2 linked regions of the Diceros bicornis minor genome follow. The main gene of each other region encodes a partner of the protein of the gene in region 2 in a complex. Links are inferred from orthologs where the notes say so. Each region holds a gene or a part of one and is shown on either strand. Other genes may lie near its edges.

Region 1 (8,209 bases), on a different chromosome or scaffold from region 2:
ACTAATTTAGTGCAAACTGAAGTGGAATCTGCCAAGATGCTGCGATGGTTAATTTTATGTGTCAACTTGACTAGGCTAAGGGAGGCCCAGATAGCTGGTAAGACATTATTTCTGGGTGTGTCCAAGAGGGTGTTTCTGGAAGAGATTAGCATTTTAATCAGTAGACTAAGTAAAGAGGATCTGCCCTCCCCATTGTGGGCGGACATCATCCAATCCATTGAGGGCTGGAATAGAACAAAAAGGCTGAGGAGGGGTGAATTCTTGCTCTCTCTTTTTGAGCTGGGATGTCCATCTTCTCCTGTCCTCAGACATTGGAGCTCCTGGTTCTCGAGCCTTCGGACTCTGGGACTTACACCTGCAGCCCTTGGGTCTCCAGCTTGCAGACAGCAGATTGTGGGACTTCTCAGCCTCCATAACCACACGAGCCAGTCCTTATAATAAACATATGTGTGTGTACACACACACACACACACACACACACACACATATGCATACATCTCTCCAGTTGGTTCTGTTTCTCTGGAGAACCCTGGCTAATACAGATGTGTTATAAATGATGGTGATAAAATGTATGGAGCAGAAACGGGCTTGGTTGGACAAATTTACAAAGCTTGTTAAAATGTAAGGTGCTTAAAGCCTACAGTTACTCGTATTCCTTGTCAGCGGGTACTTTGTGGACAATATTTGAATCTGTCATGTCTTATGGAACCAGTTGGGTCAACAGTGAACTTCTTTTGACCTCGTGGACTTAACTATCATTAGTTCTGTGAATTTTTATCAGATATACAAGCTGAATATCTTGACTTGCCCTACCATACAGCAGCTTGATGGTGTAGCAATAGTTAAATTTTACTGTAATTTCTTAAACTCGGTGGAAATAGAAATTTTTCGGAATGAGAAGAACCACTCTCAACCACCATTATCAAACACGGAATGCCTTTGGAAATTAGTTTTTGCTGCATACTTGATAACGATCCTTCATGAATTCATCTGAAAATTGCATAAAATAGCAGTTAATGCAAAACTTATACTGTGGTAAAGTCATTTTGGTGACAACAAATGTCTGAGTCACAAACTTGCTTTATACAGTTTCCTTACTGTCAAAAGTCAAAACGAGAAATGCGACCTCCATTCCGGCCAGATTTGCAGCAGGCGTATTTCCTGAGCTCAAACTACAGTTCCAGCAGTGCTTCCTGGACCTCAGTGCAAGTGCAAAGGAAATTTCTGTATTTCAAAATGCATTTAACAGTGTTGAGGAGCTCCCACCCAACCTTCATTTGAGAGTGATTGATCTGTAATGCAATTGCATGCTACAGTTCATGGTCCCCAGGACCATCCTCAAGTTCAATAATTTGCTGGAAGGACTCACAGAACTCAGCAAAGCAATTATACTCATGGTTACAGTTTATTACAACAAAAGGGTACAGACCCAAATCAGCAAAAGTAAGAAGCACGGAGGTCAGTGTCCAGGAGAGACCAGTTGCAAGCTTCCAGTTGGCCTCGCCCGGTGGAGTTGTGGACGGTGCATAATTCTCTCAGCCACCATGAGTGACAGTATACACGAAGTTTGCTTACCTGAGCCTCAGGGTCCAGGTTGTTTATCTCAGGTTGGTCACATAGTCGTGGCTGACCATCTGTGGCTGGCCTTAGTTGCCCAGTCTCTAGCCCTCCAGAGGTTATGTCCCCTGGTCAGCAGAGACTCTTATCAGGCAGGACACTCCAAGGGCTTTGAGGTTACCTCCCAGGAGCAGGTCAAGGGCCAAACCTTACTTTGGAAGGTGCAGAGTGTGGACAACCCAGGCCAGTTGAATTAACCCTTTACTGCACATAGGCTAAAAGGAAAATGTCCAGAGAAAAATCTAATGGAGTTCAGTAAATACCTTCCAAGTGATGAGTATGCTCCATTAAAACTGTATACCTGTAGTTAGATACCAGTATTTGGCAGCACCCATCTGCGTGGAAAGACGTTCACGGATGAAACACATGAGATCGCATCACAGATCAGCATGCACAGGGGAGCATTTCCCATTGATTTTGATGACAGCCAATGCTAACTTTGAACTCCAAGGAAGCAAAATGTCCTCCCCCCAGAACAGGATTCAGTTCTTATTAGTAGACCCATATTATTAGACACCTTTACTTGATTATTATTGTTTTAATTTAATTTCATCAGTAAAAAGTTTGTGGCAATGTGTTGTATTAGTACCTACATGGTATCCTTGGTAAAGTATTTACCATCTGGCCCTTTACCGAAAAGGTTTGACAACCTGTGTTCTAATCCATGGTACCTTATGTTACTGTTTATTGAGATCTTCATTGATTTTTCTGACCAGTGTTTTGTAATTTCCAGCATATAGGTCTTTGCACAGAACTTTTGATCTTTAAAGATCTGTGGACCATTTGTAAACTGATGCTTAAGTGTGGGATGTGTCTTGGAGCTATTGTAAATGGTACTTTTTATATACTATTTTAGTATCCTATGAGCTTGCTGAATCCTTACTCTTTAGTTTTAATAGCTTTTTTTGTAGACTGAGAAGTTCTGTGTAGACAGCCATGTTATCTGCTTGTAGAAAGTTTTGCCTGTTCCTTTCCAATCTGCATGCTGTTCATTTCCTTGTTTATTTCTCCTCCTTGCACTGACTGGGACTTCTAGGTGAACAGCAGTGGAGACAGTCGACATATTTGCCTTCTCCTGATTTTAGGGGGAAGTGTTTCATCATTAAGTGTGACGTTAGCTGTAGGTTTTTTGTAAATGCCTTCTATCAGGTTGAGGAAGTTCCCTTTAATTCCTGGTTTGCTTAAGAGTTTGTATCAGGGGGCCAGCCCCGTGGCGTAGCGGTTAAGTGCGCGCGCTCCACTACTGGCAGCCCGGGGTTCAGATCCCGGGTGCGCACCAACATGCTGCTTCTCTGGCCATGCTGAGGCTGAGTCCCACATACAGCAACTAGAAGGATGTGCACCTATGACGTACAACTATCTACTGGGGCTTTGCGGGGGGGGGGAAGAGTTTGTATCAGGAATATGTGTTGGATTTTGTCAGATCTTCTCCAGTGTCTATTGAGACGGTCATGGTTCTTTAGTCTGTTGACGTGATTTTCAGTGTTGAACCAACCTTGTATTCCTGGATGAATCCAGGGGTGGAGATTTATTATCCTTTTTTATATGTTACTAGCTTCGATTTGCTAATGTTTTGTTGAGAAGTTTTGCATCTGTGTTCATGAGGGGCGTTGGTCTGTGGGTTTCTGGTGACATCTTTGGTTGCGGTGTCGGTGTGATGCTGGCCTCGTGAGCCAGTCGGGGAGTGTTCCCTCCCCTTCTGCCTTTGGGAGGGTTGGTGTAGACTTGGTGTTAAATCTTTCTTAAATGCTTGGTAGGATTGCCCAGTGAAGCCATCTGGGCCCGGAGGTTTTTTTGTGTCTTTCTTTTTCTTTTTGGTTGTTGTTGGGAGGTTTTAGTGTATGAATCAGCTTCCCTGCTCGGTGTGGGGTGGCCTGTTTCTTCCTGGGTGAGCTTTGGTCCTTCATGTCTTGCAAGCACTTGGTCCATTTCATCCACGTTGTCAGATTGACTGGTAAAGCTGTCTGTACGTCCCTTCCTGCCCTTCTCACGGCAGCAGGATGTGCAGTGATGTCCCCTCTCGCATTCCTGGTGTTGGTTATGTGTGGCTTCTCTCTTTTCCTTATCAGCCTGACCTGAAATTCGTCGATTGATTGTTTCAGTGAGCAGCTTTGGTCCCATTAATTTGTCACCACTGCGTTTTACTCACCTTCGTTTTTTCTTTTTTTGCTGAGGAAGGTTCAAGTGGTGTAGGTCCATGCCTGGAAATCAAACCCGGGCCGCCAAAGCGGAGCAAGCCGATCTTAACCACTAGGCCACGGGGCTGGCCCTGGCCTTGGTTTTTGCTGGTTATGATTTCCTTCTGGCTTGTTTGTTTTCCCATTTACAGAAACGCAATTGGCATACAGTAAAGCCCTCTCCTTGTAAGTGTGCAGTTCTGTGAGTTTTGGGAAATGTCTACAGTCATGAGACAGCCCAGTTCCTGTCTCCAAGCCCTGCAGGCCCGAGTGGTCACCCCTCCTGCCACCTGCAGCCGCTGGCCTCTTCTCTGCCCTCTGGCTTTCCTGGGCAGGCACTGCGCCACCCGCAGCCCAGGAGAGCACCCTCGAGTGTCATCCGAGCACAGTGTGACCAGCAGGACTTCAGCTGGCACTGCCAAGGAGGCAGCCATTGGACGGACGGACCCGCTGCTGGTCTGTCTGCTCCCCACTTGAGGGGAACATTTGGGTTGTTTGCAGTTTTTGGCACATATGAATAATTATTTGAGGTTTAATTTGCTCTTTATGTAGTTTCTTAGAATGAAAGCTTAGATGATTGATTTGAGATCTTTTTATAAAAACCACTTTATTGAGATAATTTTCATTTGATAAAATTCACCCATTTTGCTTGTACAGTTCAATGAGTTTTAGTATTTTCATGAGTTGTACAGCATCACCACAATCTAAATTCAGAACATTCCCATCACCCTAAAACAAACCTCGTGCCCATCGACAGTCATCTTCTGTAGACGCCTTTGTTTTCAGCTGACCTCTGAACATGGCCCGCTGAGGGCTGCGGCTAGGCTCACTCTGGGTGTTTAGTCTCGTTGCTCTTTTGTTCCGTGGAGCTCCCTGAGGGCGCAGCATGTCTGATCTACCCGTGTCCTCAGGGCAGCACAGGTGAGCCCGGGGAGTAACGTTCACAGATGTGTGCCCCCTAGGTGCGTGCCTGCAGGTGCATCCTCACAGGTGTGCACCCGTAAGTGTGTCCCTACAGGTGTATCCTCACAACCTTGTGCACCCACAGGTGTGAACCTGCAGGTGCATCCTCACAGGTGTGTCCTCACAGGTGTGTCCTCACAGGTGTGTGCCCCATGGATGTGTCCCCACAGGTGTATCCTCACAGGTGCGTGCACCCACAGATATGAGCCTGCAGGTGTGTCCTCATAGGTGTGTACCTGCAGGTGCGTGTCGACAGCAGGAGGCAGATGCTTTTTCAGACCCCTCCACAGGGTCCAGGCAGCACAGGTGGGACCTCCCATGTGGACAGGGCTGAGCTGGCTCCTTCGGCATTTGCTGGTCTTACTGCAGTTTGCCAAATCTGTGCCCAGTTGTGGGCATTTGGGCCATATCCAGGCTTTAACTGAATTCCAGCTAAGAGGAGCCTCCTGGTTGGCCGTCTCCTGCAGGGCTGGCCCAGCCTGCGACTGCAGGCCTCCTCCATGGGTGGGGAGGGACGTGGTGAAGAAGGCCTTCGCATTCCTGGTGCAGGTTGGCAGGGACAATGGCTTGGCCTGCTCCTGGAGCTGAGCCTCCCCTGAGCTGCTCCAGTATGCCTGGAGCATAAAGGCGTCGGCTGGGCAAGCCAGGCTGGCAGGTGGGTGGCCTCGTGGCTGTCCTGGGGTTTCCAGGGTGAGCCTCCTGACCTCCCACTGTGGACCTCTCAGAAATCTCGGGAGACTGCCAGCATCCCTAAGCCAGACCCTGACTCTCCCCCTATGGAGCCTGTGGGAAGCCAGAGAGCACATGTGGTTTGTCTGTGAGGAAAGTTTGTACTGACCTGATGGTCTAGGGGACCCATCAGGGTGCTGTCGGCACCCTTTGATCTCGCTCCTCTGGGAGACTGACAATGTCCCTGTGCTAGCAAGCTCTGCCTGGTTTCTGTCCTCCCTCTGCCCCGGAGGCCCAGCCTCCGTTCACTGCTTTTGTTTTTGGAGGGAAAGGTCGAGGGGCATGGGGGGATGTGCATGGAGTTGGGGGAGGAGACACAGGGATCCAGCAGCCCCCAGTGTGCTGGCATGGTCTCTGGCTGCAGCACTCTTGGGCTACCCTCCAGGCCAGCAGCAGCCTCCTGGGAAAGTGTCCCCAGGGGGAAGGTGTCCTAGGGGACAGTGTCCTCAGGGGGAGGCTGCAGCCTGGCCCCCATGGCCTCTCTTGGGAGGGACAGAGCTCCTGGTGTTGGGACCCACGGGATGGGGAGGGCTGCTGGCTCCTGCCTGGAGCGGCCCCCTCCTGCCTCGTCTCGGGCCCTTGCCCAGCACCCACTGATGTGGTTCTGGTTATGTCATCTCTCCCCTGAGACAGTGGGGCCTTCACCTCCTTCATTCCCTCCTGATCCCTAGCCCCCAGAACCGAGGGTACGAGGGAGTGGAGGGGGGTATTTGGGCTCCCCTGGGTCCCTGGGGCGGTGGGAAATTCTGAGTGTGGCAGGCTCTGCTGTGGGATGACGCTCTCTCTGTACCTGTTTGCAGACTATGTGTACTTCGAGAACTCCTCCAGCAACCCTTACCTGATCCGGAGAATCGAGGAGCTCAACAAGGTAGCGTGTGTGTGTGCGGTGTGCCTGGTGGTCCCGTCCCTGCCGGTTGCGGGGGCGGGGGGGGGCAGCGTGCCCCTGCCCTTCCTGCGGCTCTGCCTGGGGCCATCGTCACAGATGAGACAAAACACGCCCCCAGCCTCTGTGCCGTGTTTGCAGGGGACTTCTTGGGTTGGCCCCAGACTGGCCACTGTCTGCTCAGACCTTTGGGTGGCTTCGTCCCCAGGATCACCTGCCTAGACTGGGTGCTCCTCCTTGGAGAGCCCATTAGTGAGGTCCCTGGTGGCCTCACTTGAGGGACATGCTCAGGGGGTGCCTGAGCAGAACAGAAGTGCTCAGAAAGCGTCTGGATTGGACGATTCTGGAGACCAGCCAAAGAGCCAAGGAAGCGGCCTGGGCAACCATAGCCCGAGGGTGCCTGTGGGATCCATGTGCCTAGGGGTTCCCTGCTTGTCTCCTGTCTCCCTCCCTGCTTACTTGGGCCGCCCTCCTCCCCGTCACTCGTCAGGCACTTGCAAGTTGGTCAGGGAAGGGGGTTGTGCTGTACTGGAGGCTGGGTGAGCCCAGAGCCCACCTGGGGCCTGGGATGCAGTGGGAGTGGGCTGACGGGTTGCGAGCCCCGCTACTCCCCCATCTCTCGGATTCAGAATGGCCTCCGTCTTTGGTCAGAGCCTGTCGCATCCTCCTGGCCAGTGGGAATGAGCAGTCTCCCTCCGACCCAGAGGTGTGAGCTGCCTCCCCTCCTCTCCTGCTGGCCTCGTGGTTGGAGGTGTTCGTGGGTGGCGCTGGGGGAGAGGGCAGGCGTGTCCCTTCCTCGTCCGTGGACATGGCCACAACGATGCAGGGTCAGCGGAGCCCCTGGACCTGCAGCTCCTTCCTCCCTGGGCCTCTTCCCTTGATTCCTGCAGAGCAGCTACTGAGCTCCTCTCTGGAGCAGCCCCTCTCCCGGAAGCACCCGTTGTTACTTGTGCTGGCGAGGGGGCCCTTGCTGTGCCTCTGTGAAGCCAGCCCTCAAGAAGCTGCTTTCTTAGACCTCAGGCTTTGTGACAGTGTGGCTTGGGATTCTTGGGACCAGGCAGGATGGGGTGGGAAGGTCAAGTGCTGACCCACAAGGGTCAGACTTAGCTGCAGCTGAACCTGACCCCTTGGCCATGCTTGCCAAGGGCCTCTCCCTGTGGCATCTACCACCACCACCAGGACAAGGAGAGTCGGAGGGGTGCCTGTGTCCCAGCCTGAGCATGTCAGGCTGGTTGGAGTGATCTGGCAGCTCCTGGAAGTTCTGGGGCCAGATCTGGAGGTGGCAGGGGCAGGGGAAGCGACTGGGACATCCTGTGAGGCCACTGCACTGCCGGAGCTTATGCCTCTGCAGGCGCCTCGTTGGCGGGGCCCTGCTCCCAGCTTGCCCAAGCCACAGGGCCTGCGGGAGAATGGGCAGCTGGCCTCCTCAGCTGGAACAGGAGCAAATGGTCGCCCATCTGCACGTGCCGGCACACACTGACGTGGGGACATGAGGAAACAGGCACAGAGACTCCTCAGATGGCAGTGGAGCACGGTTGGAGGGGCTGGGTGTCCACACGTCCTCCAGGTCTCTGCAGTGACAGGTGGTGCTGGCAGGTGGGGCTGTGGCAGCTGGTCTTCCTGGGGCACAGGGCAGGCGGCACCCCAGGGCAGGGGCCATAGGTGCCCTTGGTGACAGGGCCTGCACAGCTCTTGCCCCTCACTCTGGCCATGACATGCAGAGGGCAGATCACACAGTCGGGGCTGTGGCGTCTGCCTGTGACAGCCACGTGTGTGACAGTAAGGTACGGACAGAGCACTGACCCACCACAGTGGTGGCAATGGCTGGTGCTGGTGTCTG
Region 2 (7,692 bases):
CCAGCCACCAGACCCTGGGCAAAGGCTGAGATACCTGAGGGCTGGGCTCATGCGACCACACCCAGTCGGCTAGAAGGCGCTGGGACAGAGGATGGCAGCACCCAGCTGGGTCTCACCCATGTTGGAAGCCAGTCCTCTCCCTTTGGCTCTGCTTCCCAGGTGCTGGTGGGAGGGCAGCACCAGCGCCCCCTCCCCTCTCTAAGGAGTCAGAGACCGTGTGTATTCAGAGCCTCCCAGGGCTGATTCCAAATTTAGGATGCTGGGGCATTAAGGCACATGAGGACATAGCTTAAGTGAAAAGGCTTTTCCACCCTGCCAGGCATCAAGGCCAATCCAGAGGATCTAGGCCCAGGCTGGTGACAGTGCCCGCCAGCTGTGGAGGCAGCCAAGGCCCTGCACTGCCCCCTGGTGACACCACGTGCAGGCAGGCAGGGCTCTGAGCTACTGGAGCTCAACTCTTTCCACTACTTCCAGCTGGGAAGGCTGAGGGCCAGAGAAGGGCACGGTCCCACCCAAGGTCAATGGACAGCAGGGGCAAGGCTAACTCAGCCAGCCTCACTCCCACCCACTGCACTGCCCCTTCCCCCTCTCCGGGTCTCCTCTTGCCCTCTTTCTTCAAAGCCCACCTGGGCTTAGCAGAAGCACCAGACTCAAGGATTATGAGCTGAGAAAACAACTCCAAATTATCTTTTATTTATACAAAAAGGGGATATTTAGCAAAAGACACACTGAGAAAAGAATCACTATGGCCCAGGAGACAAGGCAGGGAGGTGACAGGCCTTTCGAGGCCCTGCTGGGAGAGAAGGGGTCTAGGAGAAGTGGGGAGTCCTGGGCAAGTGCTGAGTGATGGGGGCCCCAGAAGGGAGAAGGCTCCAGTGGGATCAACACTGTTGGCAGGTCATGGGTGAAACTCACGGTGACCTCGCTGCTAACTCTTGTGGGGGTCCCACTTAGTGCTGCCAACTGGAGTGAGAGCTGCCCCCTGGTTCCTGGAGGACGCCCACCAAGGGACACAGGACAGGAAGCCCAGGATGGGAAGTGCATCTCGGGGTGAAGGCCAGGGAGAAGGAGGCGCTCTGCAGTGGCCGGGAAAGGTCCAGATGCCGAGGTGGAGGTGCGTCCTGTTACGTGCGGGCGTTCCGCTCTGTCTCTGCCAGGCACTCTCTGACTAGGGCCCGGGCATGGATGATGCCTGGGGTGGGGATGCATAAGTAACATCCAGGGTCTTGATCTCCACAGTCCCGCCCCCACCCTCCAAAGGAAGACCCTTCTCTCTGCACCCCCTTTCCTTTCAGTAAGAGGGATGATAATCTAAAGAGGAGCTGGATGAGATTAGAGGTTTGGCTAATCCTCAAACTTGCCCTGTTGAAATACAAATTCCCTGGTCCTTCCCTGGAAATCGACTCAATTTCAATTCAATTCAAAATGCCTCTCTGGAGACTGATACTGGCCCTGGTCTAGGCTTGGCTCTGGTGGCCCCCAGATGTTCTTCCTTTCCTAATGAAGGAGTGTCCAGTGTGAGTCTCCTGGGCAGCGGGGGTGGGCGTGGCCTCACTTACCTCTCTTCAGGCGCTCCATGGCGCTCTTGCTGCCAGCATAGGTGGGCCGGATCTCTTTGCCCATCTCCTCTATGACCGACAGCAGGTCTGTGTAGGTGCTCTGGGAGCCCTGGGCGCCAGGTGGCTTCATTGCCTGTGTCAAAAGAGGAACAGGGCAGTGAGCTCAGGTCCCGAGGGGGCCTCCAGTCCCCATCCACAGGCAGTCCCTCGGCCTCACTCACCTGCACATAGCCCATGGAAGGCGGTCCAAAGTCGTTAAACAGTGGTCTGAAAGGGGCAGCGGCTCCCGGCACCGAGCCCGACGGCGATGGGACACTCCCAGCTGCAACATGCGCGAGTAATTTACGAAGTCAGTGCGGGGCAGGGACACCTCCTCCCAGCGTTCCAAGCCCCCGACCGGACTCGCCCGATTCCCTCCAAAGAGATGCTTCATTCCAGGCTGCTCAACTTCAGGGACAAATCCCTCCCCCCTGCGCTCCACCAACAAGCCCTTACGTGACGACGCCCACTTCCCAGGCCAGCAAACTGAGGCTCAGCGAAGGTAGGCGGCAGGCCCAGTATTGCAGAACTCAGGCCGTCTTCTCTTCCAGACCTCGACCGCCCGGGCAGGCGAGCAGGGGTGGAGCTGGGTCCTCACCTGTAGGAACCGGGGTGCCGGGCCCAGGGGTGCTGGAGCCGGGGGTGCTGCTGGGGGCGGGGGCGATGGGTTTGTAGGACATCCCCAACTCCTGGGTGCGGCGGACGCCGGCCGGCCGCTCCTCCGGGGTTGGCTGCCTGGCCGCTCAGCCGCACTCTGATTGGTAAACCGGCTGCACGCCCCTGGTAAATACAGCTCAGGCCGGAAGGGCGGGCGGCCACGAACGCTCCCTCACTCCCGATTGGCTCACGGAGGTGTCACTCGGGCCTCCTCATTGGCCGAGACCGGCCCCAGCATGCCGCAATCGCTGCTGATTGGTCTCCGCCTTCCGGACCTCGCACCTGTCTGCTCCGGATTGGGCGGTGGCCGACGCCCTCGGCAATTGGCGAGTTCGCGGCCCGGGCCGGCGCGCTCTCAATCCGATTAGTCTCAAGACCCGAGAGGCGGGGCCTCGGCAGCCCGGACCAGGGTCTGGTCCGCCCGGTCCGCGCCGAGAAGGTCTTCCCGGGCGCCGGCGCCACCCTCACGCTTCACTCGCGCTGCTCCGTACGTCAGCTTCGCGCCGCCCGGTCTCGGTCCAGCTGGGGCTGCTGTCGCTGCCGACACAGCCGAGCGCGCCTTCCCTCCGCTCCGGGTGGCGGAGGACGCAGGGCTTTGACGTTCCGAGCCCTGCGCTCCACCCCGTGCGCTTTTACGTCACCTTTCACCGGTGCGACACCCGGTCCCCGATCCGCGCATGCGCTGTCATGAAGCCGTCGTTTGTTCCCATGGCAACGGGACCCTCACCAACGCTACCGCCGCGCCTCTTGCTCCCAATTGCCTTATCCTCATAGGCTGCTGTTAGGTCCAGGGGCGACCTCGAAGACCGCAACCTGCCCCCCCACCACGGCCCCACGCCCGTGCCTCGCAATGACCGTAGCAGGAACAGCTGACCTTCGTTGATTACTGACTGCACGCCGGGCCCTGTACCAAACGGATCATGGACAGGAGCACCGACCGGAGTCGGACTGAGGGTACGAATCTCACACCACCCCCACCAGCGATTTCCTCCTGGACAAGTTACTCATCTCGATGTGCCTCGGTTTCCCCATCTGTAAGATGGGGACGCTAATAACTATCTCACAGGGCTGTTGTGTGGGTTAAATGAATATTCATAAAGGGCTTATTGTTTCATTCTCCTCTTTCCTATCCGTTTCTCCACCCAGACCCCTCCCCTCAAATCTCATTCCTCACAACTCTAGATCTTAGACTCTGCTCCAAACACTAATCCTTTCTCCCAGGCTACTTCTCCCCCAAACCTCTCTAGCCTTGTGTATCCTTCATGCCCCCAGGTCTGTAGATTATCCTCATCCCCAGGACATTTATTCATTCATTCATCCAACAAACATTTTCTGACTCCATCCTCCATCCCAGGCTGGACACTGATGATACCGAAGTGAACTGGCATGGCCTCTGTCCTCAAGGAGCTCCTAGTCTCAAGGAGAGAAAGGCAGGGAAGCAACGGCTTCCCGTACACAGCACAGTAAGACAATGTGGAGACTGGGACAGTGCATTGGAACTCAGACGAAGGGACTCCCTGGTGACATCACAGAAGTGTTCCCAGAGGAGGTGGCCTTCAATAGGTGAATGGACAAACTGTGATATATCCATATAATGGACTATTGTTCGGCAATAAAAGGAAATCATTTATCCAGCCATGAAAAGACACAGATAGGCATATTGCTAAGTGAAAGAAGCCAGTCTGAAAAAGCCCCATACTGTATGATTCCAATTGTATGGCATTCTGGAAAAGGCAAACTTACACAGAAGGTAAACAATTACTGGTTGCCTGGGGTGTAAGGGATAGAATTGAATAGGTGAAGCATAGGAGATTTTCTTTAGGGTGGTGAAACTATTCTGTATGATACTGTAAGGGTGAATACAAGACATAAGCATTTGTCAAAGAGTAAACTTTAATGTTTGCAAATTTAAAAAATCATTTAGGAGGCCAGGGGATCCCAGGATGGAATGCAGACTATGACAAAAGAATCTAGCTGTATTACAAATATATGAAACGGCTTCACTGAAGGGAGTGGAGGAATAAGGTGGGAATCTGGAAGTGGCTGGAGTCTGTAAGAATAAAGACAAAAGGGACTGCACAGAGCACTGTACTCTAGTTGATGAAGTGGCTCCGGTGGGGGTGGGGGTAACAATGCTGAAACCACTGCGCATGTGCACAGGAATTGAAAATTAAGTAAACGTAGGGTGGATGATTTCTCACTGTTGGAATAAGAAGTTACAGGTAAGCAAGGGGAGGAGGCTAGAATGATCCATGTGGTAATGGATTGGAGTTGGAGACATCAATATGAACTCATGTTTAGCTTAATGTAGATACAGTTTGGTTGCATACAGAAATATTTAAAAAGGTATATATACGTAGGTTAGTATATACACATATCTCCTCACTCTATCAGCTGAAAGTCCTAGAAGCAACCTTGCACCCAGATCTTGGTTTCTAATACCATTCTCCAATAAAATGAACTAGAGTTCCTCGGAGAAATGGCTGATTCTAGGACTGGGGCAGGACATATACAAGATGCTCTTGAAGCATCTTGTAGTGCCAAGGGTAAGAAAATGCTAAAGAAAAAAACCTAAAAAAACCCCAAATCCCCAAACCCCCTAGGTGCTGGGGGTATGGCAAAGGGACACAGGAACAACTGCAAGCGCTCCCACTGACCAAGGCTGCAGCAATTTGAACAAAATAAATAAAATAGTGTTGAATTATAACTTGTATAAAATAAATATCTATGAGCCCATGCAGATAAAAATAAATGACTGACTGAATAAATAAATAAATGCGGGAGAAGAGAGAAATCTCCTGCAGGGAATAATTGCAAGTAATTGATGTAGCTACTCTGCCATTAATGAGGATTATAACCTCTCACCCCTTAAGTGTGGGCTGTGCATAGCGACTTCCTTCCGAAGAGTGTAGTATGTAACAGGAGAGAGAGAAAGAGTAATTTTACAGGACAGACCCCTGACAAACACGACCTCAGGCCAGGTGGTCAAGGTCAACATCAATGGCGAGATCATGTTGATAGCATGCACCCTTGATATGACGCGATGAGAAGGGCACTTTACCTCCGTGGTTTTCCTCCCCCAAATCCATAATCCCGGACTAATCATGAGAAAAACATCAGACAAATCCCAGTTGAGGGACATGCTACAAATACCTGACCAGTCCTCCTCAAAACTGTCAGGATCATTAAAAAACAAGGAAAGTCTGAGAAACCATCACAACCAAGAGGAGCCTAAGGACACACGATGCCTAATGTGATGTGGCGTCCTGGGGGGCATTCTGGAACAGAAGAAGGATAAGCAGGGGAAAACTGATGGAATCTGCATAAAATGTGGACTTTAGTTAATAATAGTGTGTCAGTGTTAGTCCGTTAACTGTGACAAATGTACAATTCTAATGTAAGATGTGAACCAGCACGACCATCCAGTGTGTTTTAGACACTGGGAGCATAGCAGCAACAACTGGTCTCATTGAAGCCACTCTCACTTCTCCCTCATGTGATGGTTAATTTTATGTCAACTTGGCTGGGTCACAGAGTGCCCAGACATGTGGTCAAACATCATTCCAGGTGTGTCCGTGAGGGTGTTTCTGGATGAGATTAACATCCACTGAACTGGTGGACAAAGTAAAGCAGATTGCCCTTCCCAGTGTGGGTGGGCCTCATCCAATCAGTTGAAGACCTGAAGGGGATAAAAAGGCTGTGTAAGAGGGAACTTCGCCTGGCTGACTGTTGAGCTGCGACATCAGTCTTCTCCTGCCCTCAGACTGGAACCTATGCCACCAACTTTCCTGGTTCTCAGGTCTTTGGGCTCAGACTGGAACTATATCACCAGCTCTCCTGGGTCTGTAGGTTGCTGACTGCAGATCGTGGGACTGCTCAGCACCCAGAATCACCTGAGCCAATTCCTTACAATAAATATCTTTACACACACACATATACACACAGACACACACACATTCATTGGGTCTGTTTCTCTGGAGAGCCTTGACTAACACACAGGAGAAGCTGGGTGTGGAGTATACAGGAGCTCCCTGTACTATCTTTGAAATGATTCTGTAAACCTAGAACTGTTCTAAAATAAGATAAGTGGATGTAATATGTTGATCTGGGTGACAGTTACCTGGGTGCGTGTACTTGTAAAAATTCATTGAGCTGTGCACTTAAGATTTATACACCTTACTGAATGTATATTATACTCAAACTATTTCAAGTGGACTTAATGTAAAAATCTGAATTTACAGCTTCTCTTGGAAAATCAGAAGATCTTGTAGTTCCAGCCTGCTCCAAATGGCAACAGTCAATGGAGGTGGGCGGCAGGTGCCCCCTTTAGGTGGGAAAGGGGCTCTTGGCTCAGTGCAATCTCTGCCTGCCCGCTGTTTCTTCCCGGCCCTGGTCCCCGCTCCAGCTGTCGTGTGTCGGGACCTTCTGGGCTAGAAGGCTTTTGGGGTAGGAGGGCATTCGTGAGGTTTGGGGGAGCTGTGGGCACTTCTGGTGCCAGTGGACACACTGCAGCCAATTATGACCATCCCACTAACTGCCCTCCCCTCCACCCCAACCACAGAGCCTGCCAGGCTGGGGCCAGGGGGTGTAGGAGGCTGACCCTGAGTGGGGTTCTGGTCTTCCCCTAGCACGCATCCATCACTAGCCCCCAACCCCTGCAGAGGGGACAGACATCTTTTCAGGCAGCAATGCCATCTGTGCCAGCCGATGGAGGGCGGTGGGAGGGAGACTGGGCCGTGGCTCCCAGAGAAGCTGCAGGGCTGGAGCAACCCCTCCTCATCCCAGCCCGACTGGCAGGAGAGCTCACCTAATTGAGGATTAAGGATTAAGTGGGATCTGCCAGGCGAGTGATGCTGAGGCGGCTGCAGCCAGCCCTGGCACCTCGGTGTCCAGTCTCTGGGCTGGGCAGGGCCCGGGGGCTGCCCACCTGCCCTGTCCCTAGGCCATCTTGTTGGCAGCAGTGATGAGTGAGGACGGGGCACGGGCGCTAAAAGCTCCCACCTCTTCTTGGCCAGGAGGTCAGGGCTCGTCCCCCCTCCCAGCAGGCAGGAGCAGCGGCCGATCAGACGGTGCTCTGGGGACCAGGCCTTTGCTGTAGCTAGAAGAGGCTGCGGCCCGTCCTGGGTCCACTCTGACCCTGAGGCACCTTCTCTTGCGGGCACTGTGATTTTAGAGGCCCTGCGTCTGGCTGCAAGTCCCACCTCCTCTTCATCCTAGTGGTGTGTGACTTTATGCCAGTCTCTCAACCTCCTGGAGCCTCCTGGTGCCAGGATTAACCTGGGGGCGATGGGGGATCATGGCCAGTTCTTAAACAGGAGTGTGACAAAATACAAGTGGCATTTCAGGAAGAATAATCTGGCAGTGCATGCTGCATGGACTGGAGGGGAGAGGTGGCAGGGGGGTCGTGTGACCTCTAGCAAATCTGTGCGACCTCGCT

What was found. Proteins that work in one complex are often made in the same cells at the same time.
Region 1: CDK2AP2 (region 2) and MTA1 share a complex: the UniProt entries of both Homo sapiens proteins name them as parts of the nucleosome remodeling and deacetylase (NuRD) repressor complex. The link is inferred for Diceros bicornis minor from reciprocal best matches to the Homo sapiens genes CDK2AP2 and MTA1.

Annotation. Positions count from the first base shown.
Region 1 is NC_080763.1:49,835,441-49,843,649, forward strand, and holds the start of MTA1 (metastasis-associated protein MTA1), read left to right. Parts: upstream 1-4,941; 5' UTR 4,942-4,959; coding exon 4,960-4,999; intron 5,000-6,243; exon of another isoform or gene 6,244-6,258; coding exon of another isoform or gene 6,259-6,286; coding exon 6,287-6,354; intron 6,355-8,209. UniProt on the Homo sapiens protein: Transcriptional coregulator which can act as both a transcriptional corepressor and coactivator. Acts as a component of the histone deacetylase NuRD complex which participates in the remodeling of chromatin.
Region 2 is NC_080770.1:6,040,395-6,048,086, reverse strand, and holds CDK2AP2 (cyclin-dependent kinase 2-associated protein 2), read right to left. Parts: upstream 2,648-7,692; 5' UTR 2,279-2,647; coding exon 2,197-2,278; intron 2,191-2,196; exon of another isoform or gene 2,055-2,190; intron 1,882-2,054; coding exon 1,781-1,881; intron 1,693-1,780; coding exon 1,560-1,692; intron 1,193-1,559; coding exon 1,125-1,192; 3' UTR 673-1,124; downstream 1-672. UniProt on the Homo sapiens protein: Acts as a component of the histone deacetylase NuRD complex which participates in the remodeling of chromatin.